Struthio camelus: one gene and its partners. The protein of the gene in region 1 interacts with the protein of each later gene in a pairwise test. Links are inferred from orthologs where the notes say so. Each region holds a gene or a part of one and is shown in the gene's direction. Other genes may lie near its edges. The genes, in order: HTT, UBE2K, ZFYVE19 and GOLPH3L.

Evidence for each region.
Region 2: the proteins of HTT (region 1) and UBE2K interact in binary tests that used the Homo sapiens proteins (3 or more experiments, as listed by UniProt). The link is inferred for Struthio camelus from reciprocal best matches to the Homo sapiens genes HTT and UBE2K.
Region 3: the proteins of HTT (region 1) and ZFYVE19 interact in binary tests that used the Homo sapiens proteins (3 or more experiments, as listed by UniProt). The link is inferred for Struthio camelus from reciprocal best matches to the Homo sapiens genes HTT and ZFYVE19.
Region 4: the proteins of HTT (region 1) and GOLPH3L interact in binary tests that used the Homo sapiens proteins (3 or more experiments, as listed by UniProt). The link is inferred for Struthio camelus from reciprocal best matches to the Homo sapiens genes HTT and GOLPH3L.

Annotation. Positions count from the first base shown.
Region 1 is NC_090945.1:76,792,785-76,800,005, reverse strand, and holds the start of HTT (huntingtin), read left to right. Parts: upstream 1-4,216; 5' UTR 4,217-4,344; coding exon 4,345-4,445; intron 4,446-7,221.
Region 2 is NC_090945.1:61,646,638-61,653,475, reverse strand, and holds the start of UBE2K (ubiquitin-conjugating enzyme E2 K), read left to right. Parts: upstream 1-3,823; 5' UTR 3,824-4,152; coding exon 4,153-4,215; intron 4,216-4,818; exon of another isoform or gene 4,819-4,935; intron 4,936-6,838. UniProt on the Homo sapiens protein: Accepts ubiquitin from the E1 complex and catalyzes its covalent attachment to other proteins. In vitro, in the presence or in the absence of BRCA1-BARD1 E3 ubiquitin-protein ligase complex, catalyzes the synthesis of 'Lys-48'-linked polyubiquitin chains.
Region 3 is NC_090946.1:40,768,468-40,775,614, forward strand, and holds the start of ZFYVE19 (abscission/NoCut checkpoint regulator), read left to right. Parts: upstream 1-4,130; 5' UTR 4,131-4,261; coding exon 4,262-4,315; exon of another isoform or gene 4,316-4,558; intron 4,559-4,903; coding exon 4,904-5,025; intron 5,026-5,037; exon of another isoform or gene 5,038-5,596; coding exon of another isoform or gene 5,597-5,782; intron 5,783-6,817; coding exon 6,818-6,871; intron 6,872-7,147. Other genes in the region: PPP1R14D (protein phosphatase 1 regulatory subunit 14D), read right to left, coding at 5,597-5,782. UniProt on the Homo sapiens protein: Key regulator of abscission step in cytokinesis: part of the cytokinesis checkpoint, a process required to delay abscission to prevent both premature resolution of intercellular chromosome bridges and accumulation of DNA damage.
Region 4 is NC_090971.1:2,590,923-2,597,954, forward strand, and holds the start of GOLPH3L (Golgi phosphoprotein 3-like), read left to right. Parts: upstream 1-4,020; 5' UTR 4,021-4,448; intron 4,449-5,181; exon of another isoform or gene 5,182-5,264; intron 5,265-5,415; 5' UTR 5,416-5,427; coding exon 5,428-5,598; intron 5,599-7,032. Other genes in the region: HORMAD1 (HORMA domain-containing protein 1), read left to right, coding at 1,955-2,035. UniProt on the Homo sapiens protein: Phosphatidylinositol-4-phosphate-binding protein that may antagonize the action of GOLPH3 which is required for the process of vesicle budding at the Golgi and anterograde transport to the plasma membrane.

The DNA of each region.
Region 1 (7,221 bases):
GCATTTTTCCACTTTAAATTTGTCCCTTTTGTCTCCATGCAGTGAGTATGACCTAACTCCTTGTGCAATTTACTAACTCTAGTACATGGACAGGGAATAAATACATTAAATCTGCAAAGCAATGTGACAATCCAACAGCCTGACTGCTTTGTTCTCCTGGTACAAAATAGGGTAAAATTTATGGAATTCCTATGGAGTTACTTGTATGAGATCGATCATTCTTGTCTGTGGTTTGTTTCCAAGTATTTTTGTGTGTAAGTCTTAGCGTTTGCTTATTCATACCTCATGAATATATATATTTAGCTCAAAATTCAGAAACTGTGAAACAATATAACAGTATCAGTTTATTTTTGAATGTTGTGACTGACCAATAGAATTAAATCTTCATGCCTCAGGGTTGCTTTCTTTCTATAAAAACGTAAGTTTTGCAGAGGTAGTGTTCATAATAAAGATGGCATCATGTTTTTGTATTATAACAACATCAAAACAGCCCCTATTTAAAAAAAAAAAAAAAAAAAGAGCACTTAAAAATAATTACTGTACAATAGAAATAGGAAAACCTGTGGTATCTCAGAAACAAGGAGATAGCTATTGTCAAACCTTAATCTTTAATAAAAAATGCTATATCTTTTTAAAATCGTTTTTAAAACAATAGATCTGAAGGCAAAAATGAATTTTTAGAATACTCTTCAATTATTTTTCAAATAATATAGATGGAAGGTATTTCTCACTGTCGTTTATAAATTCCAAAATATTGTTTACAAGTTACTGAAAATAAGTCAACAGAAGTAGTAGTATTTCACTATTGTTTACAATTTAGTATTATAATAATTTATCACCTCTATTCTCATGTTGACTTCCAGAAAATACTTCTCTCTAAGTACTCACAAGTTGGAATTAATTTAAAACTTTAATGGAGAACATCTTCAAGATAAATTTATGTGCTTTTTGGTGGTTTTCTAGGTTTTTGTTTTTTGAATGACCTGTGTTTGGTGGTAATGATGTCTCTTCTGTATGTATGTATGTGTGTTTTTTTTTTTTTTTTGTAATTGTCCATATGGTGTAACTTAATTTAAGTTTTGCATGTGACACAGGTAATTTCTCACATGTTCTACATGTGTCCAGAACACCAGAGTTCTTTCCAAGTATAACTATTTTGATGGCTAAATGTGATACGTTGGTTCCAGTATTTCCAAACCACTGAATTGTTCTTGTATGAGCTGTTTTCCTGGAGGTTCTAGCGTTTGTTGTTCCGAAATAAAAGCAAAACACTGCCGCATGTCTAAATCACATGTATTATTGTCTAATGTGATTTATTCACCATGTCTCTCTTGGCAACTGAGGTAGATAATGGAAAAATTATATATATGTATATATATTTTTTTAACTCACAATTTGTTGAAATAGAAAATGTGTATTATATGTTGTAATTTCTTTACCAATGTAAGACTGTCAGATCCAGCAGAGAGTACCCTAGCTCTGTTGTATTTGCTCAGTTGATACCTGAATTATTAGTCCGATTTCTAGTTTTTGCATACATATTGGTGTGGAAATGGAGAATTATGGTGATTGTCTATTTTTGTTAATATATTTATTGTGCTAACGTTATGAATGTGAGTGCAAGACTGATCAGGAGTAGCTGTGCTTGTGATTAGTCTTGCAGATACTGAATTGTCCATAATGAAAGGAAAGAACCTAGACATCGCTCCTTGAGAGAATTTATGGCGAGTCACTAGTCAGACTTTTTTTTGAATGCTTTTCAACAATAAGCTGCTTGTATATCTAAATTTTCGAAACCTTGTTGTTTTTATGCAATGGCTTTCCCTGTGATTTTGTAACTTTTGAATTGAAGAAATAAGCACTCAATTGCTATACAAAACAGCATGTGTTTAAGTGACTTTAATGGTAGTATAACTCTGCTATGGCATATAGCAAAATACCTGAGCATATGTTCCAACTACATGAGTTGTATAGTCTCATGAAGTCTATTGGACGATTTATCCTAGTAGTGCCAAGTACCTGCTTGTGTTTGTGGAGCAACAGAAATGTAGAAATGCAGAGTCAAGACTGACTTTAGGAGAAGCATTTGTACTGAGATGAGGCCAAAAATATTCTTGACGTGCTCGTCTAACCTGTTCTTGAACGCGCTGAAGAAGTAGCCTTCAGTAGTTAAAAGTATTTCGCAAGCCTATGCTTGGGAAGCCTTTCCACATTCGTGACCTAGATGGTCTTCCTTTTAGGTAGGGTAAAAGCGTTGTTTCTTCTGTTTTCCTTCTGGAGGTGGAGACAGGTTTATCATCATTTACTAAGTTAACACTTTGTGTGTTGGTTGTTACTCCATTGAGAATGTGATTTTTTTTTTTTTTTTTTCTTCATGGTAATGATGGCTTACAAAACTTGCCGCTCTCTAACCCAGCTTGCTTGTTTCTGCCCCTTGCCAGTTTTACGTGCCTTTATTTTTTTAGCCCCATCTGTTTTGTGACCAGTGACGTGATCCATGTTTTTGCCTGTATCTGTCAATTTGAATTGGGAGAACCTATTACTATCACACTTGCCAAAGAAAAAGCCCAAGCCAAGATATCCCTGGGTGCTTTTCTTCCAGTTATCCCAACTCGTGTGTAACAAACGCCAAGACAGTCTGGGAAGACAAGAGCAAAGAGTAGTGCTGCTTTAGAGGCGTGTGTTGCCTTAGCATATCTGCCCGTGAGTCAGCAGCCCTTAGGGGACTGGTGCATGTTTTAATCTAAAGCTTCAAAGCAATTGTGCAAAGCCTGACTTCATAGGTGGCTTGTTCAGTCTTTGATAAGAGCTTATGCTCTTTTTAAACATGCTTAAACTTATTTCAAAGTTTGGAGTGGTACATGCAATTATGGGGTAGTGAATGCAGCCTTCCACTCGTCTTTTTTTTTTTTTTCATGTATCGTTTGCTGAATAAAAAATTAATGATCATCCATATGTTCTGGAGAAAACTCTGCAAGTTTAAAAGTTCTCAATTTGAAAGCGTACATATGTTTTGTCACACATTTATAATGAAATTGGGGCTTTGTTATAGTTCAGATTGCTTTCAGTACTGTAGAGATACCCTTTGAAACGTTCCTCAAAGTCAATCTTATTAACACACTAATAGAAGTGTCAGAGAAATGTTTTATGGACTAATTGGCAACAACCATATCACTTGTTCTCTGTAAGGCTGTTTATGGCTTTTCCAGCGTTTACATCAAGGCTAGAATATGAGTTGTATAGGGGTAGGAAACTTGTGCCCGTGGGCCGAAGTTCAAATTCTGCTCCATCACAGAGATGGACATAGGGAACACCGCGGGTTTTTTTTTTTTTTTTGCGATTTATTTTTTTCCCCCTTTGCAGGCACGTTGTTTTAACTTCAGAACAGGAGCGGCTCTCTCACCACTTCAGTGCGTATAAAATGTATCAAAACGTCCTCAGAAGGGGCAAAGCAGGAAGCCTGAGAGGAGTGCTGGAAGCCGTAGGTTGGTAAGGATTAAATATCTTGCTCCCGTAACCGTTTCCTCTTCTCCACAGACACCTCAGGCCCGGAGCAGGCTAAAATAAAAACGGAAAAGCTGCTACCGTTGGGCAGGCTTGCCGGAGGGGTAAGGGGCACAGCCGCCATGCGCCCACTTGCAGCGGGGCGGGGGCCGGTACCTCAGCGCGGGGGCAGCCGCCCCTCCCCCAGCAGGGGGCGCGGCGCCGGCCGCGCTCGACGAGGGGCGGGGCCGGCGGGGGCGCGTGATCGCCGTTGGTCCGCGCCACTTGCTGGCGTCTGCCTCAGCCGCTCTGCTGTGACCTTTGGGAAGCGGCGGAGTTATCTTCTTTTTGATTGGTCAGCGAGGTTGTCGCTCTCCCTGTTGCCCCGCCCCTCAGCTCGCCCGCGTGCCTGGGTGTGCATGTACCTACGTTAGGGGTGTGCACGTGACTCAGGGCTCGGCTGGGAGGGGGGAGGTTGCGCATGCGCGCTGGGCGCGGCGTTGCCCGTGGTTGGAACCGGGCCGCGGAGCGGGCGGAGCAGCGCAGGGAGGGGGCGGGGCAGCGGCGTGGGGGATGACGGGACGGATTGAAGATGGCGGCGGGGCAGCAGGGGAGTGCTCGCGGCCCCCTGCGGCGTCTCCCTCATTCATTGCGGCCGTGACGGGCGGCTCGGCGCAGCGACCGCCACCGGCGCGGCCTGCGGCGGCGGCGCCTCGGCTGGCTTGAGCGCGCCGGGCGAGCCGCGGGGGAAGGCGGGGCAGAGCCGGGCCCGCGAGGAGGAAGGCGGGCGCCTGCGAGAGGGCGGAGAGGCGCGTCGGGCCGGTGCCGCGACCGGCGCGGGCGGAGCGGAGCGGACTGGACATGGCCACCATGGAGAAGCTGATGAAAGCCTTCGAGTCGCTGCGCTCCTTCCAGCAGCAGCAAGGGCCGGCTGCTATCCCCGAGGAGCCGCTCCAGAGACCGTGAGTGACCGGGCACGGGGAGGGCTCCCTTCCCCTTCTCTTACCCGCGCCCCGCAGGCTCCTGAAACATTTCGGTGACATTCTCCCCTGGGGAAGGAGAAGTCTTATCTTATGTCTTCCCCAACCTCCTTCTCCTCCTCCCTGGGCTGCTGCCGCTCGGGAGCTGCTGACGGTCTGAGCGACAGCTGGTAGCCGGGCGCTGCCCCGGAGGAGTTACCCTCGGGGCGCTTTCCTCTCCTTGCGGGAGGCTGTACTTGTGGACGTGGCTAGGAGCGCTGCCTGGCGCTAGTTTTTTGTTTGTGAATTTTAAAAGTAGCGGTAACTTTCTGGGTAAATGCATTTGACCATACAGGGGTTCGGACAGTGGACAAGAGAGAGAGCGATGCTGTATCGCTTTCATGGGCTGCTTCTAGAAAGCAAAATGTTATTTTCAGCTAACACACTGTTGAAAAACAGCAGAAAATGAGCATGACTTAAAGTCTAAGCTCTGAATACATTTGGGGTAGTTGACGTGAATGTCTATTTATGACAAACTTCATTTGAAATCTTGTCCTGTGACTGATTTGCTGTGGTGATTACCAAGAAGAATTAATTTAAACGTTTCTGATGTCCTTTTGCTTTCTGAAAACATTAGGGGCAAACACATTGAAGAGGCATCTTTTTGCATCCGTGTGATGTTCTGGTGTCCCATCCTAGTGCTTTATTGGAGGACAAAGGCACGAAGCTGTTCAGTACCAGAGTGCTGCCCGCTACATTAGCGTTCTCTAAAAATAAACTTTATTGAACAGGTGAAAAAGCACTGAGATTTTTACTAGATAAATACGTGAGTCACATTATTGTTTTTGCTCCAGATATCAGTGAAAGAGGAGAAGCAGAAGGGCTGAGGAGCAGGTAAGTTCTAAATTGGCAGTTTGAGTGTTTTGGCAGACGATGATAAGCAGTGGAGCTGGGCTCTTAGCCACCTGCTCCCACAGTACACTCTGATATGTTTGCCAACTAAATTATCATGGTTCATACTGTTTGGAGAGTGTTGTCTCAAACAATCTCAGTGCGTTTTCACACTTTCAGGGCATAACGGATGAAAAAGTTGGCTCATCCCTCCTTTGTGAGCCAGTTCTTTTTAGATGTCTTTCTGTTTCGCAGGGACTTATTGCTCTATGAGGTGCTTTTTTTTTTTGTGTGTGTGCTAGTACTTCATGTGACATGGTAGGTGGACATCTATTTCCAATCTTTCTTATATGGAGTGGGGAAAAAAAATCTATCTAAAAAGTTATCGGTAAGATAGATCATGTTCTTAAAGAAAGGCTTGTTAATTATTTGTGATGCTCAGTGAGGGGATGTGATGCTCAGTGAGGGGATGTAATGCTTCTGGTTTGAGGTTCTGAATTTAGGCCTGGTATACTCAAACCATTAAAAACCAAGGTTTGTAATTGTTCTTGCTGACTATGCTTTGTGTTTAAAAATAGACTGCATATTTTCAGAAAGCTGATAGTGTTGCATGCCTCCAGGAACTATACAAATTCAGTAATAGCACTAAGCCTCACCAAAGCCTGTGAAAGGACCTTGTGGCAGTCTTTGCTGAAGAAGTTTCCCAAACTTCTGGTTAAATACCAGGTGACATCTTGAATGTAATTCACACTTCTGTCTGTGTTTTGTGGTAATGGACTTGAAAGGAAAAATGACAATGCGTTTTCCTTACCTTCCTGGGAGAAATGATTGTCTTAATTGTGGTTGTGTATAAGTCGCACTTAAATCTTTTGTTGTTCTGTATGGTAACTTCCTATCTCTTATCCGTGTACTGCTGTAAAAAGGAGTGTCACTCTCTCAGTCGATAATGAGAGAACAAATGAATTGGTGAATGTCATAGGCAAAGTGCTAATAGTTTACTCTTCAATTGTTTCGTTAAATAGACATTTAACGCTGTCTGTTAGATTGGAGTTGCCTTGTTGCCTAAACTAGATGACAGGCTGACATTCCTTCAGTTGAAGAGTAATCTCATTATTACAGAATTTATTAGACAGTATTGCTATGTGGTACACGTAAGTGGGCAGAGGTTTTTTTGTTGTTTTTGTTTTTAAGTTCAAACAGTAAAATGGATTGCAGTTAAAAAGATGTCTAGGAAGTGCAGGCTTGAAATTTTATGTTTTCAAGTGCTTAAGAAGCTGCAATTAAAAAGATGCAAACACGAAGAGGATGGAAAGAGCTTGCGGGAATGTAAACTTGAGGACAGCCTATTGTTAAATAGGGAGTATTTCAATGAAAATCCATGTGAAAGAGATGCTTGGGATGTATACCCTCTATTGCAGTAGCAATGTCTTTTGGCTACCATGAAAGTAAGATCGCTGCTGATCTCTACTCTTTTTCTTATTTCAAAATAAGCTACCTTAAATTTTAACAACATAATATTACCTCTACAAGATTAAAAACAAACAAACAAAACCTCCACACAAAACACTTTCCTATTAGAATAGGCAAAAACTACCTTTGAAAAATATTGCTGGTAAAAACTGAGCATTCTGTATCTGGTTAGTGAATGAGTCCTGCTAAGGGCTCTTTGACTGATGCTATGAAATGTTATAACATCACAGAGAAACTGGAGTACAGTAAAACATAATTGTTTGCACCAATGTTTTGAAGTTTTTTTTTTTCATTTTATTCTTGTAAGATAAATGACTTTTGTGGTCTTGATAAAACGAATATCCTAGCTTTATTATTAAAATAGTAATTGAATTCAAGCTTTTGTCAGGGAGGTAAGAGCTTTTTCTATTTTGAGAGG
Region 2 (6,838 bases), about 15 Mb from region 1:
ATCTATTTTCACAGTCTCCAAAATGTGCGAAGTGATATGTATATAAAGACAATTTCTGGCACACAGACCTCTCTGTTAAAAATTTGGGATGACAACAAGAGAGATGTAGTGTGTAAGGTAGGTGGGAAAAAAGGGTTAAATTTAAGAACATCTTAGTTTTTTGAATATTTCGGGCTTCTCCTTTGTCACTTTTTTTTTTTAATAAAGCATGTTATAAATGAGCATATTAACATTTAAATGAAAAGTGAATACCATCTACTACTAATACTGCCTGTAAGGTTAATCCTTCTATGGATGGCTCATGAAGATAAAAAACCAATAACAAGAAATATGTAACAGATTCAACCTTTGCTTCTGAAGTGTTTGAAATCACCATACAAATCTCCTGAGACAGCTCTGCTGTCCTAGAAGAAGTCCTCCAGCAACAACGAGAGAAGATCAAACCTGACATTTCTGATTTTTCTAAACTAAAGAGGCCAAGATGAGGGGAAGAAATAGTCTTGTTATGCAAGACACAAAGAAGATACAGCAAAAGAAGGAACAGAACGTTGCATGCTGGAAAGTTACAGTTTCAGAAACGGCACTTTCTTCTTCTGATCAGAGGGAACAAAATAATTCCAAATTCTGAGTAATTCTAACAGAAAAATATCCTACTGATATAAAGAGAATAAAAATAGAAAAATGTGAAAATGATAAAGACATCTCTAAGAATAACCATTTGAAGAACAGAAATTTAATCTTACCTGGTGCTGTCACAAATATTTTGAAGCCCCCCCAGGCAGTGCGCTAGGGTTGGGGGGCGCCCATACTCTCAGTCAGAAGAACCATAAACACAGTGACTTTATTGTATACGCAGCAAGTGAGTCCAACATACCCATGCAATTTGTCCACGTACAATAGCCACTTTCCCATGAAAATGAGGGGGAAAACTATTTCCTACGTACAGGTTGTAGGGCTGAACCATCTAATACAGGAAACAAAACATTGTTTAGGATGTTTGGTTATACCAGCAGAGGTGATGAATATTGTCAGTCCTTTCGTACTGAGGGCCTCAGGTGATGCCTTAAGATCACCGATCTTAGTTTATAGACAACTGACTCTAAACATTCCTCCTGAAATAACTTTATGGAGTCAGAACCTCCATTAATTCACCAACTTTCCTGCACCCCGTTCTAGAAATATTTCAAAGCAATATAGCAAACATACTGAATAAAGTATGGATACCTGGAATTGTGCCTCCCAGTCTATTAGTTATGATCAACACCAACATGCAAAAGTATAGACCGATTTGTGGCCAGTTTGTGAAAGCTGTTATTGAAGGAACTGTTTGCTATGAACCTAAATCGATGATGGGATTAATAGAAGAACTATCTCTTGAAATAAGACATAGTACAGGATTTCATAATACAAAAAATGAGCTATGTTCAAAGGACTAACTTCTGTTTCATATTTTGCATATGGATTTCTCTAAGGGTGGAAGACTAATGAGAACTTAATTCAGAGGTTATACACAGAACAGTATTATCAGCACACTATACAGTATATTATGAAGTCAGACATGCGAAGTCATTGAAATCACAAGAAGAGGCTGAGTATGTTCTCATTTTACTTCTCAGCAGTTTTCTTTCTAAGCATTTTTCTTATCCTACCAAAAAAAATTATTTGGAAACTGCTAGTCTATGGTCCTGTTCTGGCTTAAAATAAGGTAGAGTTTTCTGTAATATAGTAAACTATAAAATATTATAAAAGCTATAATATGACAGCCCCAGCATACTCATTACATCAGGTACTGATTACATGCAGTACTCTAATTGTGGTAGGACTTACCACCACTTCTTTCTACTCTCCAAAAAGCCTTCCTACATTCTCCTTATTTTACCAGAGAGAAAATGAACAGAAAAAGGACAACTAAAACGGAGGGCCAGTGAAGCATATGATGAATATGAAACAATCGTGAAATAAGTGAAAGATGCGTATATAAGGATAAAGGAAATGAGAAGAACATAGTAAGGAAAACAGATACAGGCACTCACATTAATTTGATTTGCTTTTTGCAGTAACAGACTCTGACATCTGTAATCCAAATGAGCACATGGAAATGAACCCAGATACAAACCAGGCAAAATCACTGCCCTTTACTTTACTGGGGCTATTACTGGATGTCTACTACCTATAACATACAAGCACGCTCACAGGAACACAAAGAATGCTGACACTTGATAAAGGTCATGTTTTCGACTCCATTCAGAGCAAGTTCTGCATATTTAGAAGCTCAGCTTCTTACTACCGTGGGCTGTCTGAAAAGATATAAGGCATTTAACTCAGGGATTTTATGTACTGCATTTATAATTTTTGCCTATAGTATGCAACGGGAGCTGAGCATACCATAAACCTAACTTTCAGTTATGAGCTCTCCGAGTCAGATAAGAATTATTATGGCAGATAAGAATTATTACCCTTATGTTACAGGTGGGAACCTAAGGCATAGCGAAGCTATGGCCTACCTCCTCAAAGGAACTTAGGCACGTCAGTGGGACTTAGCTGTCTAAATTATTTTGAAGCTGAAGGCCCAAGATTACACTGGAAGTCATTAAAAAGAAATCAGACTTAATGCAAAATGGTTCTTTTCAGAAAGGTAATAAAAACTGGAAAAACGTTGCGTCAAATGCATATTGTGTCAAAAACAAGCTTTGATACAAAGAAAGAGCTGACTCTATGAGCCAGATGCACATGATACAACACTGTTCCAGGAGAATGGACTTTTCCCAGTCAAATCACAGGGGAATAGTAAATACACAGAGAAAAAATATATATGCATCTGTAAACAGCTGCCAGATTTTTTTTTTAATCAATTGGGCCTATACTTTCTTTAATGTTTATATAACAGTGAAAATGTTGTGTGCATCACTGGAGATAAATGAAGTGTTTGCAGAGGACAGCCACAGCACGAGCAGACAAGTCCCAACCATAAGCCACTACAGTCAGGTTCCCAAGAATCAGAAATGCTCCCTGTTGGGATAAGCGTTTATGCCGTACACAGCCCTACACTGTACTATTAGGGGAGGCCCTGTAAAGCGTTTCTGTAGACCTTGAAGCCTGGAAAGCCTCTAGTTTCCCAAACGAACAACAGTCGTAAACGCAACCTCATACTCCCTTCTGAAAATCTGTCTGCGCTCTCCCATAACATACCACATTTTGCCCTCCTCGGGCAAGCGGGGATGGTTACGGGCACCTATTTCTGTCTTCTGTTATCTGTGCCTTGCAGTGCTTGCTTCTGCAATAAAGCGCAGCAGCCCGTTAGGCGGCCCTGAGCCGCCGCCTCCTCCCCGCCTCCCGACGCCTTGCAGCAGGAGCGGGGCGAGCGGCCTCCCCGCCGCCCGGCCTGGCCCCCTCCGTCCCCGCTGAGGGGCAGCAGCCTCTCGAGGGCGGGATCGCAGCCAGGGGAGACGCAGAGTACTGCCGTTTAACCCCCCCCCAAAAAGGGGGGGAGAGGGAGGGGGGTGAACGGAGTCCCTCGGCTGAGGAAAGCCCCCCCCCCGGCTAGCTCTGCCCAGGCGCTGCGGGAGAGGACGCGTGAGCAGCTCGCAGAGGCCGGCGCTTCCTGCGCGGGGGGCGGCGGCGGGGCCGTGTCACCGCACCGCCGCCACCCAGCTCCGCCGCGGCGCGGGGCCCGCCGGCGGGGGGGCGGCGCAAGGGCTCTGCCGGCCCAGCGCTGCTCCCGCGTTAGCCGCCGCCGCAGGAAACGAGCCCTGCCCGGGTCAGGACGAGCGGCCGGCACCTCCCTGGGGCCGGCGGCGGACGGAGGCGGCAGCCGCCCCGCGGGGACAGCGGGCAGGAAGGGGCTGCGAGGCGGCGGTTGGCGCGGCGCGCACCGTCCTCCCTCGCGCTCTCCCCGGCGGCCGGCGCCCGCCCCCCATCCGCCGCCGGGGAGCCTCGGCGCCCGCACCGCTCCGCTCCGCTCCGCGCACACGGCGGCCCCTCCTGAGCGGCGGCGGCGGCAGCGGCAGAGCCGGGTGCCGCAGCGCGCATGCTCGGCGCGGGCGCCATTTTGGTGGGGCCGGGAGTTATCCAGCGAGAGCGGCGGCGGCGGAGCTCGCTGGGCCCGGCGCGGAGGCAGCGGCGAGTGGGTGCGGGTCGGTGCCCGCTGCGGAGATGGCTAACATCGCGGTGCAGAGGATCAAGCGGGAGTTCAAGGAGGTGCTGAAGAGCGAGGAGGTCAGAGCCTCTCCCCCTCCCCTGGCGCCGCCACCCTCCGCCGTGTGTGCGTGCGCGTATGTATGTATGTATGTATGTATGTGTGTGTGTGTGTGTGTGTGTGTGTGTATGGGAGTGCGGGCAGCGGGGGAAGGTGCGGGCTCCCCGCCGGGCTGCGCCGGGACCCCGCTTCCCCCTCGGCCCCACCTCCCCGCGCTGGGGGTGGGCCCGGCCCGCGGCCTCGGGGAGGGGAATGGCGATTCCCGGGGAGACGGGACCCGCCAGCCGCGGCGGGGGGAGGAGGGGGCCGCCGAGCCCCTCCCCCCGCGGGCAGCGGGAGCCGCCGGAGGCCCGAGGGGGAGCGGGGCCCGGCCTGCCAGCGGCAGGAAGCGCGGCGGCGGCGGCGGGGAGCGAGGGCCGGGGGCCGGGCCGGGCAGCCCCCGGCGGCGGCGGCGGCGGCTCCCTCCGCCCTGGGCGGGCTGTGGGCGGCCGAGGCGGCGGAGCCCGCTGCCAGGCCGGGCGCTGCGGGGTGGGGCCTCCCACGCGCGGCGCTCCCGCGACCCTCGCCCGCGCGGGTGCCGCGGCACGCATCGCCGCACGCGGCCCTGGCGGCCCGGAGGCAGCGAGGTGCATCGGTGAGGCCGAGGTGCAGGATGCGTGGTCACACACATCCCCCTTAACTCACCTCTCTGGTCAGCCAGAGACTGCGGAGTGTGTGTTTTATTTTTTAAAAGGTTGCAGGTAAGTCCCTTTTTATCTAGGTTACTTTAATCCAGAACTTCCTTTATCCCAGTGTAGGTTAACTCACCTTAACGTGGATGGTTTTAAAACCATACTCATTTAATTCTTGTTCTCTCGTTTTCTGGCTTTCTAAATAGTGTCTCTCTGAAGCAGCTCATGTTATCGAGAGGTATGTGGTGGTCAACGAGAGGAGCTGACTACTACCTTGGGCAAAATATTAAAAGAAGTTTTGATCTGTTATTGGGAATATGTAGCAGCTTTTGCAGGGTTGCATCAGTACAATTCTTGCTGTGTCTGGATCTGAGTTGGCGAATGACAACCAGATAGGTTTTAATAGTTGTGTCGTCATTGTCGTCCTACTTGGGATGATGTTGCAGGTTAGATGCCTGTGAAATATTAATGTGAACGTGTAACTCTTAAAGCTAGTGTTTTAGAAATCTGGACACATTCGCAGAAGAAAATCAAGAGGACAGTAATTTTTTGAAGATACTAATACCTCACAGAAAAGATGCCATTGCTGTAGTTGATGCGCTTTTAAATTAAGTGTGCTAACAGCATTGTTGCTATGCAGCTTGAACTAGCCTCTATAAAAACGTAAGGGCCTTGTTTTACAGCTACCTTTGGAGCCCAGGCTGTTTTTGCTAAGCTCTTGCACAGTGATTACACAATTAGGTGTAAACTAAGACAAATTTCTAGGTGGCCATCTTTGTGCCAGAATTAGAGTCCAAAACCAGTACTCCATATAACTTTATACTGTGGGAACAACATTTGTATCTGCATTTGAAGGTACTATCTAAAGGGTTCAAGTCCCTTTCACCTTACTTTATGTAGGAAAAAGAGAAACAACCTATGCAATTCTGTGGTGAGATCCGTCCTGAATTTCCTTACAGTAAAGGTTGGGTCCAGAGAGCACATTTTTCTCCTTTCCTGATTGTTTAGTCTACGCATTGGAGGGGATCAGTATAGAGTGTTGGAAATAAATAATATTATAAAATAGTTCTTAAGCTAGACAACATCTTTCAGATATGATAAGGCCACAATTCTTATGAAACTTTAAAATTATGAAATTTTGAAATTAAAGCATTTTTAAGAGTTTCATGTGTCGTCTTTTTCTGCCATTATCAAGCTACATATGAGTAGAATACTGACATAGCACATATTGTAAACAGCATTTTTGTAGATACTACTATCTCCCCTATCTTGAGTACGTGATTTAGGCATTTATCTGTGGTTCTCTATGTTACAAGCAAGTCTGTTGTGGATGTTTGTACTTTCAAAGCCAGTCAAGCTATGGTGTTAGTACCACTGAGCATAAAAACATGTGGAGTGAGATGGTGAATGGAGGGATAACTAAATACTACAAATTGAAGAAGTCTTTTTTCCTACATGTTTTGTGTAATTAAGCAGTTCTTGACCCTTGTTCTTAAAAATTTTCTGTGTCATGAATAAGTGATGCTAAATTTGTTATATAGAAATTTCAGTCCGTTTCTGAAGGCAAAGTAGCTCACGTTACATGCACTTAGATTATTCTTATTTGAGGCTTTGAACTACAGCTGAACATAAAGAGCAGTGCCAGTTTGTTTCTCTGCAGATCCAATATGGGCAGAAATAGCATTTTTTGGTGCTTGAAAGGAACACATACAGACTTTGCTCTGTGTGTTTTTCCCATATTCATCTGTGGACTGAAACAGGGTGATTTTTGAAAAAGCATTTAAAATCCTTTCAGACTTGAGAAATGGAAGCATTTTTACTCTACTGGCTTTATTATTTCCAGTTTTACTATAAGCTCTCTCACACCTTAACTTAAGGACTCAGCTATTGAGCATTCAATAAAGGTCCTTGTAACTTTGTGTCTCTTAAATATTTGAACTATAAATAGGTGAGACCAGCAGCAATTTCTTTG
Region 3 (7,147 bases), on another chromosome or scaffold:
AACCCCCATGACAACTCCTATTTTATGCAAACTTGAACTGGGTCTCTCTTTTAAATACAGTCAAAGCCATCAGCTGTAATAAGTCAGATGAGTATCACTTGAGGCTCCCCGCTCATAGCCTGATGTGGGCTCCACACCAGGCCATCTAGGTTCAACGTTTTAGATGCTCACCCATATTTGTGGAAAAGGAGCAACCATGGACAACATGCGAAGCAGTGATTATATTATACAGTAATATTCTTGCAACTTGTCCCTAGAAATATGGGGTTAAGTGGGAGTCAAAAATGTGGCAATGTGACCCTAAAGGCAAGTTTCTAAGGGCATGCACCTGGCGAAAGACTCCAATCTTATCTGTCTTGAAAACATGAATTCAACAGTACTGTTACAGGAACGCATTCCTTCCTGAATCTGCAGACACCCTGAAATATAAAGTTACAAATAATTTTTCTCTTTCAGATCAAGGGCTTTTCAATCTGAGAGCTAAACATTCCATTTTTCATCAGTTGTTAGGGGTCCTTATTAATCATTTTCCTTAAGGGATAAGCATGTTAGCTGGAGTTCCCACACACAATCCAAACCACCTTCCAGCCCTCTACAGAAATCAAAACCTTTAGCTTTCCTCTAAGCTCTGCTCAAATCTCTGGTTTCCTGCTGGCAGTCTCTGCTTTAATTATACGTTATTTGTCTATAAATCTGTGGCCTGCCAAACAGGAAAATGCAAGGTAGAGAGCATCATTTATTTTGATAAATACCTTCATGAATGGCATTCTTTCAGTAAAGACTACCGCTCATTTTCACCCAGTTAGTTCCAAATTTTAAATGGAGAAGCTGTAGACTCCACAGACCTTGCTAACAGGTCTACTCAACTGAACAGTGTAAAGGGATTTGTCTTTTATAGACAATAATCCTCTCACAATGGGCATTGTCCATAAATAATGATTCATAAGCTACTGTTAATATTCAGATTCTGAGATATATGAATTTAGAGCAAACAGCCAGTAGACAGCAAAGACAGTATGGCCAAAGGTCCAGGATTCGAATATCGTCACAGGAGGATTTTGAGAGGTTCAAATTAAAGTTCAGCATTCACTTAAAACATCTTTGAAAACCAACATGTAAGCATTTAACCTTAAAAATTAGAGGTACCTAGCAGTGACAAATATATCTTATTCCCACATATGTATACACCACATGAAACAAAAACAGGTGCTACCTTAATTGCATGCAAAGACAAAACTGTGATAGAACAGAGCCACCTCCAGTAATCTGTGCACATGCGACAGGCAAGAAGAGCATCTGTGTCCATGCAGTCCAATCTTACCTGCTTTGGGATTGTCCACGTTCTTATCAAAGTGGCAAGTCAGGGCCTTCTAGGGTATGCTTTCTTAACCTGTAAAAGTCAGAACAGAGATTTGCTAATTACCGCTGCTGAAAAAAGCAACTTGGAATAGAGCATTACAGAAACATAAAAAAATTACTACTTATTGGTCTTTTTTGCTTAATTTAAAATACGCTTCTCTTACATAAGTAAATAAGTGTGGTTGAGCCAACGTTCACTTGAATGACTAGAAGCCCCCAGGCCTGACAGAAAATAAAGGCAGCTTTTGGCACGCTGATAGTACAATTGATTCCTCATTTGGAAGAAGGAAACAAGCCTACTACGACAGTAAAAGGCTACTGAAACTCAGTTTTCAATTTCAATGCAGTCATCTGCCCTTTTTATCACACTGAACTGTAAGGAGAAGCATTGCAGCCTGGGAGACTGAGCAGTCATACAGTCACCTTTTGAATCAAGTTGAACTTTTCAAGGCCGTAAGATTTACTTCTAGGTACATCGCATTATAGTAATTGAGCTGCAAGATCATCAAGACCAAGCCAAACACACTTAGGGACAGTTTTCTAGCAAGTCAGAAGAATAAAGCACGTGCAGCCATAACTACTCGAGGCAGAGAATGTACAACTTTCTATGCAACAACTGAGTTTTGTTGAGATGAAGGAATATTAACCAAAGACCGTTTAAACTCTCCTATATGTCAAACGAAAACTTTATAGCCTAAGTCACCACACCGGATTTTAATAATCTGAGTTCCCTTTATCATAGGAAATATCTGCGTGCAAGAAAAGAGAGAAAACCTGCAGCTGTTAGGCTGCCAAGCAGTCTTCTGGTGAAGAACCTGCAAAGACTAAACGGGAGCCAGGCACCACCTGGTGGTCAGTAGTAAGTAAATGTAAACGTGCAGCTGAAACATGATGCTATTCCCTCTTGAAACATGGTAATTCCCTCTTCTCCATAAGCAACACTCCAGCAAAGAGGGAGTGAAATCTTCTCCTATCACGATCACGACTGTCAGTTGCATATGACAAATCCCTCTGAAGCTTCTCTAAACAATTAAGTTAAATTTCTTTAACTGCCTTGCTCTCTCTTGTTCATTTGGTGATGCTCTCTGAACATAAAGATTCTTTGGGTTGCTTCCAGTATTTTATATTAAGGAGAGGCACTCTAAATTACACCTGTCAGTCTGTAAATTGCACTGTAACATCTAAATTGAAATTTTCTCTTCCCCTTTTCTTATTGACCAGCTCAGCAGTAAAGGCAAGGCCAAATAAGTTTTTTATTTGAGTCACTCCTGTGATTTTAGATTTGGCTTGATTCTGTTTTGTGCCTGTAGTACCTCGAATTTTCAGGTGGCATCTGATACAATTGCTGGACAGGCCCATATTTTAGCTTCCAAGTTTTATGCAATTGTTCTTTTAATTTCTAATGCTCTTCACTGTATTGAGGGGGAAAAAAAAAAAAAAAAAAGCTTGAGGGAGAAAACCCAAAGTTTTTCCTTTAAGTTTAGCTCTGTTCAGATAATTAACGAGTCTTACTTCCTTGAACAGATTAGTCAAATTCCAAATTTAATTGTGCATGACTTTACACTGTGGACTTATCTATTAAACAGACGAGTAAATAAAGGAAAATGTTATTTATTGTAAAACCACAAAATTAACTAGGTGGCTCATGTGAAACTATGGTACGTAAAACTACATCTAATAACTTTTTTTGGCAAACATTGTAGGATATTTCTTTTTCAATGTATGTAAACAAACACTGGGAGAAATACTGGCTAGAGTTAACTGGAATTTTTCAGTTAATTTCAGCTCATTTCCCACTCTTCTGAAACAGGATCTCACCCACAGGTTTAACACACCAAAAAATATCTTGGGTGCAACTGAGTCAACATCAGAAAATGCACTGTTTGTCTCATTAACAAATACAGCCAGCAACAGCTAATAGGCAACAATGCAACACCCTACCGACTACAGACGCAGTATGGGAGCATGCCACACATCAGTGCACACAGCAGCGATGCCCTACTGAAACAATGCTTTCAATAATTACTTCAGTCAATATCCAGAAATTAAGGAAGCACTGTTAAGAGTCACCCCACACCCTAGCCTGCTAGTCCCATTTCAAAAGCGCCAGCAACTGTTGTTACTACGCGAACAACGGCGATCAGAAACGGAGCGCGAGAGGCACTGAGCACAGAGAAAGCACGGGGAGCCCACGGCGGCCTGCGGGCCGAGCCCCCCGAGCTCCTGGCAGCCACCCCGCACAGCGCCGGCAGCAGGGACGAGGAGCCTCATGAGGCGATTTGTCCTGCCACGGGGCAGGGCGGCCCCGTGTCCACGCCCAGGGAGGAGGGGACGCCGCGGAGAAGTGCCACCGGGCCCCGAGAGCCCACCCGTGACCCCCTTCCCCGCCGGGCGTACAAGGCAGCCGCACCCTCCCCCTGCGCCGCCATCTTCGCGAGGACCAACCTCCCTCCCCGCCCCTGCCGCCCGCGCGCTGCCCGCCGGGAAATGGAGTCTTCACCGGCCCCAGCCGCCCAAGGGCGCGCTGCGGCCGCCCCCAGACTACAAGCACCACAATGCACCGCGCGAGCGGACCGGAAGCCGCCTGGGCAGCAGCTGGTGGCTCCCAGCAGGCCCCGCGCGGGAGCGGTGCCGCACCCTGGGTGATGTAGTTTGTTCATGGAGCAGAGCCCTGTGGTTGCGGCGGGAGGGGCGGCCGAGGGACTACAACTCCCGTCGGGCGGCGCGCCGCGCCGGGGCCGGTTTGTGGGAGGCGGGGGAGCGGTGTTTCTGTCTCGCGGTTGTGGGTGGTGACGGGCTGTGGTAGCGCTGCGTGTCTGTGAAAGTTAAACAAGGACCGCAGAGGGGGAAAGCAAATCTGTGGAGCTCGGTGTAGCGGGGGCGGCGGGTGCCCCGCAGCGCCATGGATAACAGGTGCTATGGCTGCGCGTCCAAATTCACGGTCTTCAAGAAAGAGGCAAGTCTGGCTTAGTGGGTCCCGGAGCGGCCTGTGCTCCCTGGAGACTCGGCTGAGCAGGCCAGAAGCGGCGTGAGCGCCTGCGAGGCAGAGCCCGGGCGGTGCCGCGGGCACCTCCGGCAGCGTGAGGGCTTTAGGTCAGCGTCCAGGCACGCTGCCTGAGGAGCGGCATAGCGTCGTTTTCCTTATTTGTTTCCTGGGCTCTTGTGGCTCCTTAACGCCACTGTATCTTCATAAAGACCACTGTAAAAGAAAAAAAAAAAAGGATTGAATTTGTCATCTGTCTAATCCAATGTTCCGTGGGTATCTCAGAGGAAAGAATCTCCCACCCACTTTGTTAGGCAGGGGGATGATCTGGCATCTCTGATTCCAACAGGAATTACACTCTGGTGGCTGAAGACTGATATCAGTTATATCTGCAGCAGCAGCTAATGATACAGTCCTCCTCAAAATCCGTTTACCTCCAGCTTTATCTCTGGTGCACCTTGGCAAGGCAATTGTTCCTGAATATGGTCATTCAGAGAAATGTGGTGTGTGTGGTGGCTAGGTGATGAAGCCCTGTCCTGCCTCTCTCTTGTATCTCCTCAGTGTGGATGTAAGAACTGCGGACGGGCATTCTGCTCTGGCTGCCTTAGCTTCAGTGCTGTTGTTCCCCGCTGTGGAAACACTCCGCAGAAAGTGTGCAAGCAATGTCATGGAAAACTAACTGGGTAAGGTGGGAGTCTTTCTTCACCCAAAGACAGTGTCCTGCTTTGGTCCCTCATTTTGTGAGAGTCTCTGTGAGAGTCAGGCTGTGCACTTGCCTGCACACACTGCCTGTGCCCTCGAGTTTCAAGCTAGGCCCTTACTGAACTGCTCTTCATGGGCTATTCAGTCAGAACATGTAAGTCAGTGTGTGTGAGGTTGTTCTCCATGGTGACAGTGTAGTCTGAAAGAGCCAATTTTAAATTGTCATGGATAGACCCTGGATGCCTGTGGGTATCCTTGCCACATGGGACCCAGCTAAGCCCCACAGTATTTGTGCCTAGAAAGGTACACCCTTTTGATAACCCTAGCAGTCTTTTCAGCTGTGTAGCAATAGAACAACCTGGCAACAAGATGTGCAAAGTGTTACTTCTGTAGGCAAACAGTGACACAGCTCCTTATTATTGAGAGGTCTCTGTTGCATGTAGCCTGAAGACCTAAATTTTGTAGTGTAAAATCGATTTTCTTTTAAAAGAAAAAAATAATATTTTCACAAACATAACATGTAGGGAGGCTGTTGAAAACAAAAAATGTAATTCAGCAGCAGCTTGTGTTGTACGCATACACAGGTAACGCAAGAGCACAACTTATGCCAGAACCTCTCTCTACCAATTCTGTGTTCTGTCCCTTCTCTTGTATTTCTCTTACTTCTCCTCCCCATTCATTCTCATATAGCAAGGAATTTTCACCAGCAAGTGGGGAATATTCTTGTTCTGCAGTTGTCTAAAGAGAAAGAACCTTATGTTATCAGAGGTCTTTATATTCAGGAGCCAGCGCTTTTGAAGTAGTGCGAGGTTATCAGTGGTGAAAATACAATACTCACAGTCTTTCCTTTTGGAAAACTTCTGATTTCCCTTTACATGTCCAAAGATATTCAGAAAAGAAGTCAGCCTTTCCTCATATTTCTTTTGATTTTTCATATCTGTTTAATGTCAGTACTGTAGAGTTACAGAAGACAAAATTATCCCCCTACTGGACAGCAGATAGATAAGTCACACAGATTGCATGGATGTTCTTCATGCGAAACAGCTTTCAGAACTGAAAACGTTTGGTAGGAAAGCAGTCCAGCAAAAACACTGCCTTCGTTTGTAATTATACAGCCCCTAGCACAGTGCAGATATATTTGTAGCTGTAACTTCTAGGAATGAATAGAATGTACTAACCACCTGACATAAGTGTGAAGTTTAGCTGCTTAACCTGAACACAGTGAGTCAGAACACAGAGTTACACAAGATGTGTTTGTGGTATGCAGTGTTCAGGTATGCTAGATGTCATTATGATACTGCTGGTTATATAACTCTGTTTATAACGTTTCATTTAGAGTTAGGGTTGTGCGCTATATAATTCTGTGTTTGTCGCATGGCATAACTCCTTTCAGAGTGTTCCACTATATTGGAGCTAAATACACTGGGAGTCTTAGCTAACTGTTCTCTATCTGCTTTCTGAACTGGGAGATGCAGGCTGGGGGGGGTGGGGGGGGCAAGGGTACTTCAGCCTCTTTTCTTTTGGAACGCTGATGACTATATTAAATAAATTTTATTCAGACATGAAACAAAGGACTAAAAATGAGGTCCCATGCTGTCCTAGGCAGCTACTACCTTTCCTAAACTGATCACTCTCCATATTAGTGAGGTTATGAAAGGACTATACCAAGAGTTTGATAAACACGTATGGTAATTCCTTTTGGTTTAAAAGAATGGATGACTGAAGCACTGCCAAGACCTTGAGTTTGGAGAGAGCATTATTTTTGCCTTCCAGAGAAGGATCTCAAAGCAGTTCAGCAAAATGGTCACCACCGGAGAACTACAAAAAGTGAGTTGCACTTGCCAAACAACCCATTGGCTTCTGCCACAAGGTAACCTTTCAGGCCCTCTCTCCTCTTCCCCTTACAGGAATCATCGAAAGTGGGTTTTGCAACGTGGGTATTTGCTTGTTCAGAATTAGATTAAGGTTGGAGCTTCTGTTTTGTTGTTTGAGGGTGGGTTTGGTTTGATGTGTGGAAGGGGTTGTTTGTTTTCTTTTGTTTTGTTTTTTTGTTTTTGCTTTTGAGTAGACTCCTGAACAGCCACCTAGTTATGTTCAGCTATG
Region 4 (7,032 bases), on another chromosome or scaffold:
GTTTTCTATTTCTGTTTTCTGCTCTTTCTAAGCCTTTTTCTGTTCCAAAGAGAAAAAAATTCTCAAGTTTTAATAGAATACATGTTGAAAGAAAGATTCTCATCACTTAGAAAATTCCTATTAGCATCAAAACATTTGGATTCCTAGTGTCAAAAAAAAAAGTCTGTTCCAAAAAATTAAAAGCTGAGCATTACAGTAGTTACACAGGTTGAGAAAGATTCATTAGGATTGACTTATTTTCTCAAGAATGCATTTAGCCAAATTCCCTGCTGGTTTAATCCATTGTTGATATGTGTGTGTGCCAGTAGAGATCCCAGCCCAGCGTACCATATGATCACTAGTGATTTTACTTGGAAAACACAGAGCCATAATTCTAACCTCAGATGTGTGACTCATTCATACCAAGAAAAATCCATTATTTCTTTGGTTATTCACATTGCAGCAGACTTATTTAGTCTGTGCTACTGTGGGGAGCCAGATTCCTTGAGTCTTGTACAGGTGGAATAGAAGTTGTCTTTAGGATGGAGCTTGGCCTTAGGAGAGGGTATTGGGTACTCATCTGTCTGTGGCTGCTGCCATTACCCACTGACCTTGGTAGCTTTAGCGTTTTAAGGCTAAGGGGAGCCTCTAGTCTGTATAAACCTGGAATTGTAGCCTCTGCTCTGTGCGGAACTTGCCACAGTACATGTATAGTCACTTTGCTATACCTCTATGTACCTCTTATTTGTGAACATTGAGAGTTATTGGTATGCTTTTCTCAGAAAAAGCAATGGGGTGAATACTACCGTTCTTGTAAATAAAGGCTCTTCATCATTTACAATCAGGAGAGGAAATTACATGTCATGGCTAAGGAAAATCATACCCTTCCTGTCGCCACTCAGGAAAGCTCTTCATTAATTTTTAATGCAGGTTACGGAACAGTAGTTGCATAAGGATTTATAATGTGCTACTCAATAGTTGCCAGTAGTCGTCTTCTAAACTAATAGTTGCTTTATTTCCAGAAAGGTTGATGAAAATCAAGCTTGGGAACATTGCAAAATCCGTTCCTCGGCAAAATGTTCTAAAGAAATCCAGAAGAGAAACTGGTCTGGGCCATAAAGTGTGAAAGCAGCATGCAAAAAGAGCTATCTAAGTTTGCCACAAATTCACAAAGCGGAGACATAAAATTCGGAAGATTTTGGTCATTTTCAAAAAATACTGCTTATCACTATTAGAGTGACCCTTTTTTACTTCCAACCTCAGGTTCATAAGCAGTATTTTTGAGGTTTGTTAGTCACTACTGTAAAAAAGAGCATTATTTTCTGTATGCTCATTTGTCAATATGAACTTAATAGAATTTTTTAAAATGCGTTGTTTTAAATAAGCAGAAGCACAACAGGACTGAAGGCTAAATTCTGGTCGTTTCCTACATGTCCAAGTCAGAAATAATTTGATAAAACCAGCAGGCCTATGTGGTGCAGATTGCCCTTTCCTGTCAATATGGGGCTCTCCGGTGTCACACAGAGCCTTCCCTGTGTCACCTGGAGCTGCTCTACCGTTATCTTGAGCCACTGTGTGCCTCACAGCAGCTCCTGGAGTTGGACTTTCGGGTTTCTTGCCTATACGGAGGGCAGATCTGGTCTGGGGAACAGTCCTGAGAGGTAAACTTGGTACATTCTGCTGAAGCGTTACACGTGGGAGTTCCTGCCCTTACAACATAAATACATCTAAGCTGTTCTATAGTAATTTCGGTGGGAAATTCTTCGAGAAAATAGTATCCAGATATTATTCCAGGCTTAACCCCTTTGGGCATGTACCAGATAATGGCACGGACTGGATGCTCAATGCACAGCTTCTGACACATCACACCGCCGAGTCTTACTCGGTGATTTCCATGTTACGCTTGCTAATGCAGTGGAGCAGGCCATAGTTTGTGCAGCACAGCAACCAGTAATGCAGTATTTTTCCTTGGCAGGTTCATCAATTTGAACTCTTCTCTAGTCAAGATGTGCTACCAAAAAGGAGAAAAATTAGTGAACCAAAGGAGCAGTTTTAGACATCCATCTCCCTGCTGTTCACAGAATTCACCTCAATATTGCTTCGATTCGTTGTTTAATATGAATGTTAATATTTAAATACCATTTGGGGATCTTTCCTGTTTGATTTGTAGTCGAAATGTAGTGTATTTTATATCTAAGGGAAAAAAAAAATCTGTCAAGCCCAGTTGAAGAAATTGTAAGTTTTTTTTTTTATAGAAATGTGTATTGCCATCTGGAAAGATAGAAGGTACTTAGCTAATGATGCAATCTCTGAAAAAAACATCCATAACAAAGATGATTTGGGGGGATTTGATTCTCTGCTAACACTGTGTGTGTGCCCATTAACTGAAACACGAGGATATTTCGCTGATCGCTTTATCTGGGCTGTATTTAAAACTCGGGAACTCCTTGTTCGGAACCTACCCAACAGGGCGTTAAAAACTGAGCTCTCGGGTTAATTTCTGGAGCTTTATCAAGCAGGTTCAGGAGAACTGTGTTGTCAGTTACAGCAATATTACAGATTTTCTTTTTACTACATAGTAAGCAGAACTACTGGAGGTTTAGGTGGCCTGATTCCATGTATTTCCTCCAGACTCAAGGCACCAGACTCGAGATAAAAAGCATTATTCATATCTTCATATTTCACACCAAAATGCAGGATTTGCATAGAGCTGTGATGTGATCTGTGTGTAATTACAAGCAAAGTGCTAATCTGTGGCAGGCATCTATTATATTAGTGTAAGATGGAAAAACTTGAAAAACAAACCTATATGTATGTGAAATGATTAATTGCAGGAGTCAAAGGGTGCCATTTTTATTCTTCCTAAACAATTAATTGTTACTTTTTGTGTACTGTGAGTGAATTGGAGTGAAGCTGTTTATGCATGGCTAAGGGCTACTGCTGTGTTTAAACTGGATATGAATAGCTGAACATTTCTCTTTTTTTGATTAACATCTTTTTATCCTATTCCTCAATTAAAAGAATGTTATCTAACAGTTTGCATGTTTCTTGACCACTCTGATTGGAGTACGTTTTTTGAGTTTTAATGAAATGCTGGTAATATTTTGGAATTCTAGCTTAATAGGGTACAGCCACTTCATTTTGTTTGAACCAGGCTGGATGGGGACCACACAGCTTTGATGGGAGTGGAGGGCTGTGGGCAGTGGGTCAGAGTAGGCAGGGAACAAATTCAGTGAAGAACACGGAGGTGGTGAATGTCTTCTGGTCTGTGTCCATCCCGTAGCTGCAGATCTTCCTTCTGCCTGGTGGGCTTTTCAGACTGCTCTGTTACCCTGTGTCCCAGATCCGGGCTCCCCGCTCGCTCCAACGCTGCATTTTTGTGTGTGTTTTTGGCCAAGGGATTGGATATTAAAGGAGCTAAGCTGGCACAATGTTCAGGTGTTATCCCTTTTCCCTCAAAGCTGTCCAGAAGTGCCTTCTGGAGAACCATCAGACTGCCTTGGAAATGCAGAGTCTCCTTGTGCAGCCTTGTAATATTTTAATCCTTTCGTCTCAACTGGTGGCAATGCTCTCCTCTCGAGGAAGGCTCCCTTCCCTTGAGTTATCCCAGAGGGCAGAGGAGGAGACTAGTTGAAAGGATGTTTTCATAGTGAAAACTAGCTGCACTGGCAAGAAGGTTACCTTAAAGCCAGAGCCCTGCCTGTCCTCGGGTGTGGGCTTCAGTGGCAGTTTGGAGAGGGATTCGTAGATTTGCAGCAGCTCATTTCTCTCCAGTTCGTTGCACTGAACCGGATGGCTGGGATTTAATTATCAAACGCTGTCATTGCGTAGCCTCAGGCTTTGCCAGTTTTGCAGTCTGATTTAACAAGATTTCCTTTGCAACTATTTATGAACGTATTTATTCACTTTTACAGCCAAGGGCTCCCCTTTTCCCTGCCTCAAGCTGCTTTCTGCGGGCGGAAGCCTCCCACCAAGCCCTGCCTGACCAACACCGCAGCCTTGCCCTCACCCAGGTGCGTGTGAAAAAACACGTTGCACGATTTGCACAAGGCACCGGCTGCTCCAGCACCCTCTGCCCAGCAAGGCGGCACGGGGAAGCGGGGACCGAGCGCTGCCAGCCCAAGGGGGACAGGCAACCCTTGCCCCAAGCCCCGGGGCCAGAGCCCTGCAGCGCTGCTCCACACCCCGGTGCCTTCCTCCCGGAGAGGAGGAGGAGGAGGAGGAGGAGAAATCCCACCCTCTGCCTCCCGCGCTGCCTCGGCCCGCTGGCCGCGCTCATTGGAGGCTCCTCGCCTTGGAGGCTCCCATTTGCCGGCGCTGCGCACCGGGCTGGCTTACCGGGCACCCAGGAAGCCGCCAGGCTGCTCCCTCCCCTGCCTCGGCTCACCCAGGAAGCTTTTTCTCTTCCCCGGCTCCAAAGTTTGCTCGCAGGAGCCTCGGGGAAAAGGGGGGGGACCCGCCGAGCACGGGTAAGGCTGGCTGAACCGGGCGATTTGTTATTCCGGGTTGCGTTTCTCAGGGGCCCGAAACTCCGCCGGGGAAAGGAGGAGGAGGGAGGCTGCTGGCCCGTGTCGGCCTCGCAGTTTGCGCGTTTCGGTGGGGGGGGGGGGAAAGTTGTCAAATCTAATTATTGCTGCGTGGGGGCTTGTGCTGCAGGGAGAGAGGAGGTGGATGTGTCTTTCCGGCTTCTTAATCTGTTCCCGGCGTGTGGAAAAAGGCTGCAGGAAATATTCCTTCCCCCCCCCCCATCCCCGCTGCCCTTGTAGCGCTTAAATCTCAGCCCCTTTCCTGGCTTACAGTGGCTTTTTAACGAGACTCTGCTGCTCCTGCGAGAGAGGGTGATTGGGGACCGAGGGTCGGGTTGAGGATAGGGCAGAGGCTGGGGATTTAGGGTGTTTGTGGAAGGTTTTGGGTTAGCACCCTGGGAGTTTGAAACCAAAAGGGGCAGCTCATTAAGCTCCTTAAACAGATAAATATCAGCTGTGAGCAGCTAAGTTGTAGAGAAGGGAAAATAAAAGGGAGAACAGCCTAGATGAAGGTGCTCCTTTGTCGTTGCCCTGGGGCTCTGCTGGGTATCCAGCATCCAGGACTGGGTGGGAGAGCCTGAGCCTTAACCCCTTCTCCATTACGTGTGCGTGGCCAGGAAGTCCCCTTGGTCAAAAGATTTTGTCGTGACTCAAGTTCCTTGTTCCCTCTCTGAAGGTGCAGTCCTCTCTTCAAACGTGTCGCTAAGTTACAGGCAACCACTCCCTAACGGTGACTCTTGTACAGCCATCCTGGGAGGGGTGAGCTGAAAATTCCCGGGGGAAAAAGGGGAGGGTTCCCTCAACCTTGGGCATCCGTCCCTGGAGTCTGGGTTTCAGGTCTTAGGGCTTCGCGCTGTTGTAGCCCATCGTGTTTAGACGTGGCGCAGCCTTTACCTTCCTGTGCTCCTAGTTGGAGGCGAAGATGACAACGCTAACGCATCGAGGACGAGGAAAGAACTCGGACAAGAAGCCCGACAGCGAGGAAGACGCGGCTGCGGACAGAGACCTGAAAGATGAAGACGCCAATGACTCCAAAGATATCCGCCTCACCCTCATGGAAGAGGTGCTGCTTCTGGGACTGAAGGACAAGGAAGTAAGGCATTTTTCACTGGCGCTATTGCACGTGTAGTAGTGGAAGTGCTGTCTTGGCATATCTGGAAAGGAGGTTCTCAATATGCAGTGGAAGGGATTGTGCGAGTTCCTCTGCATCCACTTCAGTACAAGGTCGGCCTACTAAGCTCAAGCCACCATCATCTGCAGCTGAAACCTAGCTGTGGAGCTGTATACAGAAGCAGTTGATGAGGACCTTGCAAGTGCTGTCCCATCAGCTCTGCCGCAGGGACAGCTGGAGATGAGAGGTGCAATATAGTATTACGTTACTGCCATTTGCAGAGCAGAGACGTGTTTATTCTTTGCCATGGCCAAAGACTTACGGTAAAAGAAGCCACGCTTTGTGTCAGATGGTAAATGTCCTCTTCCCAAACGTAGATAAGCTTTCCTATCTGAAACCAGCAGGTGAAACACGAAGGTCTTTTGAGCACTGTTTACACTTTTCTAAAAATTGATACCAGAAACAGCCGGGGCAAGTTTTGAGAGAAGAGACAAGACGAGAGAGTGCAGCTGGACCAGGAGTTTAAAGCAGGTGCAGAATAAGTTTGAATATGGAAACGATAAGGGAGGTCGGAGCGGTGTCTCTGTTTTCAGAGTGTCCATGTCCTTAGCCAGGGAAGAATGGCATCTTGCAGCTCCAGGCTTCGGGGAAAAGAGGCACTTGCCTTGCCTGATGTGTGCCAGTTTTACAGCTTTCCTGGGCAGCAGTGTGTGAACTTCCCAGATGGTTGTTTTCAGAGAGAGGATGGTCTCTGCTGGAACGTGCATGTGAGCAAACTGATCTGTTTTGTGCTTATCAGCTGGTAGCAACTCGTTGCTCAAGTCTGCCTGGAATGAGCCGTTGGGACAGGAAAAGACAGTATCTTGTACTGAATTCTCCAATCACTTGGCTCTGAGCCGTGGAGCACTTATCTGTTGTTGCGTCTACGTGCTTCACCTTCTTTAATGCATGCGTCTTCTTGATCTCTTTGGGGGAAAGTGATACTTTTATTCCTATCAAACTGATGGGGAAATTGAGGCAAAGAAGCTAACCAGTTGCCCAGGGTATTTCTTGGAATGACGATGGCCGAGGAGAGCCTTAAATGCTGTTTTTTTCAGCTCCACTTCGAGTGCTTTGTGTGAGTCCATCTTCCTGCCCTGAGGAAAGGAGACGTTGTAGCTGTTAAAGCTGTGGTGTGGTTGCATAAGTGACAGAGGCTTGTAGCTGCCCTGTTGAACAAGCCTAGATAAGATCTAGGACTCACCAAGCTGAATAGGAAGTAACAGAAGAGCAAGGCTGTAACAGGAACATCACACAAATAACTTTGGAGCAAATATTAGAGAGTGCTTTGGGAGCATGGCATGGTCTGCTTTCTTCCTGGACAACACTGAGCATTCCTGGTTCGGTTAATGTGTATTTCTGCCTGGTTCCTCATTG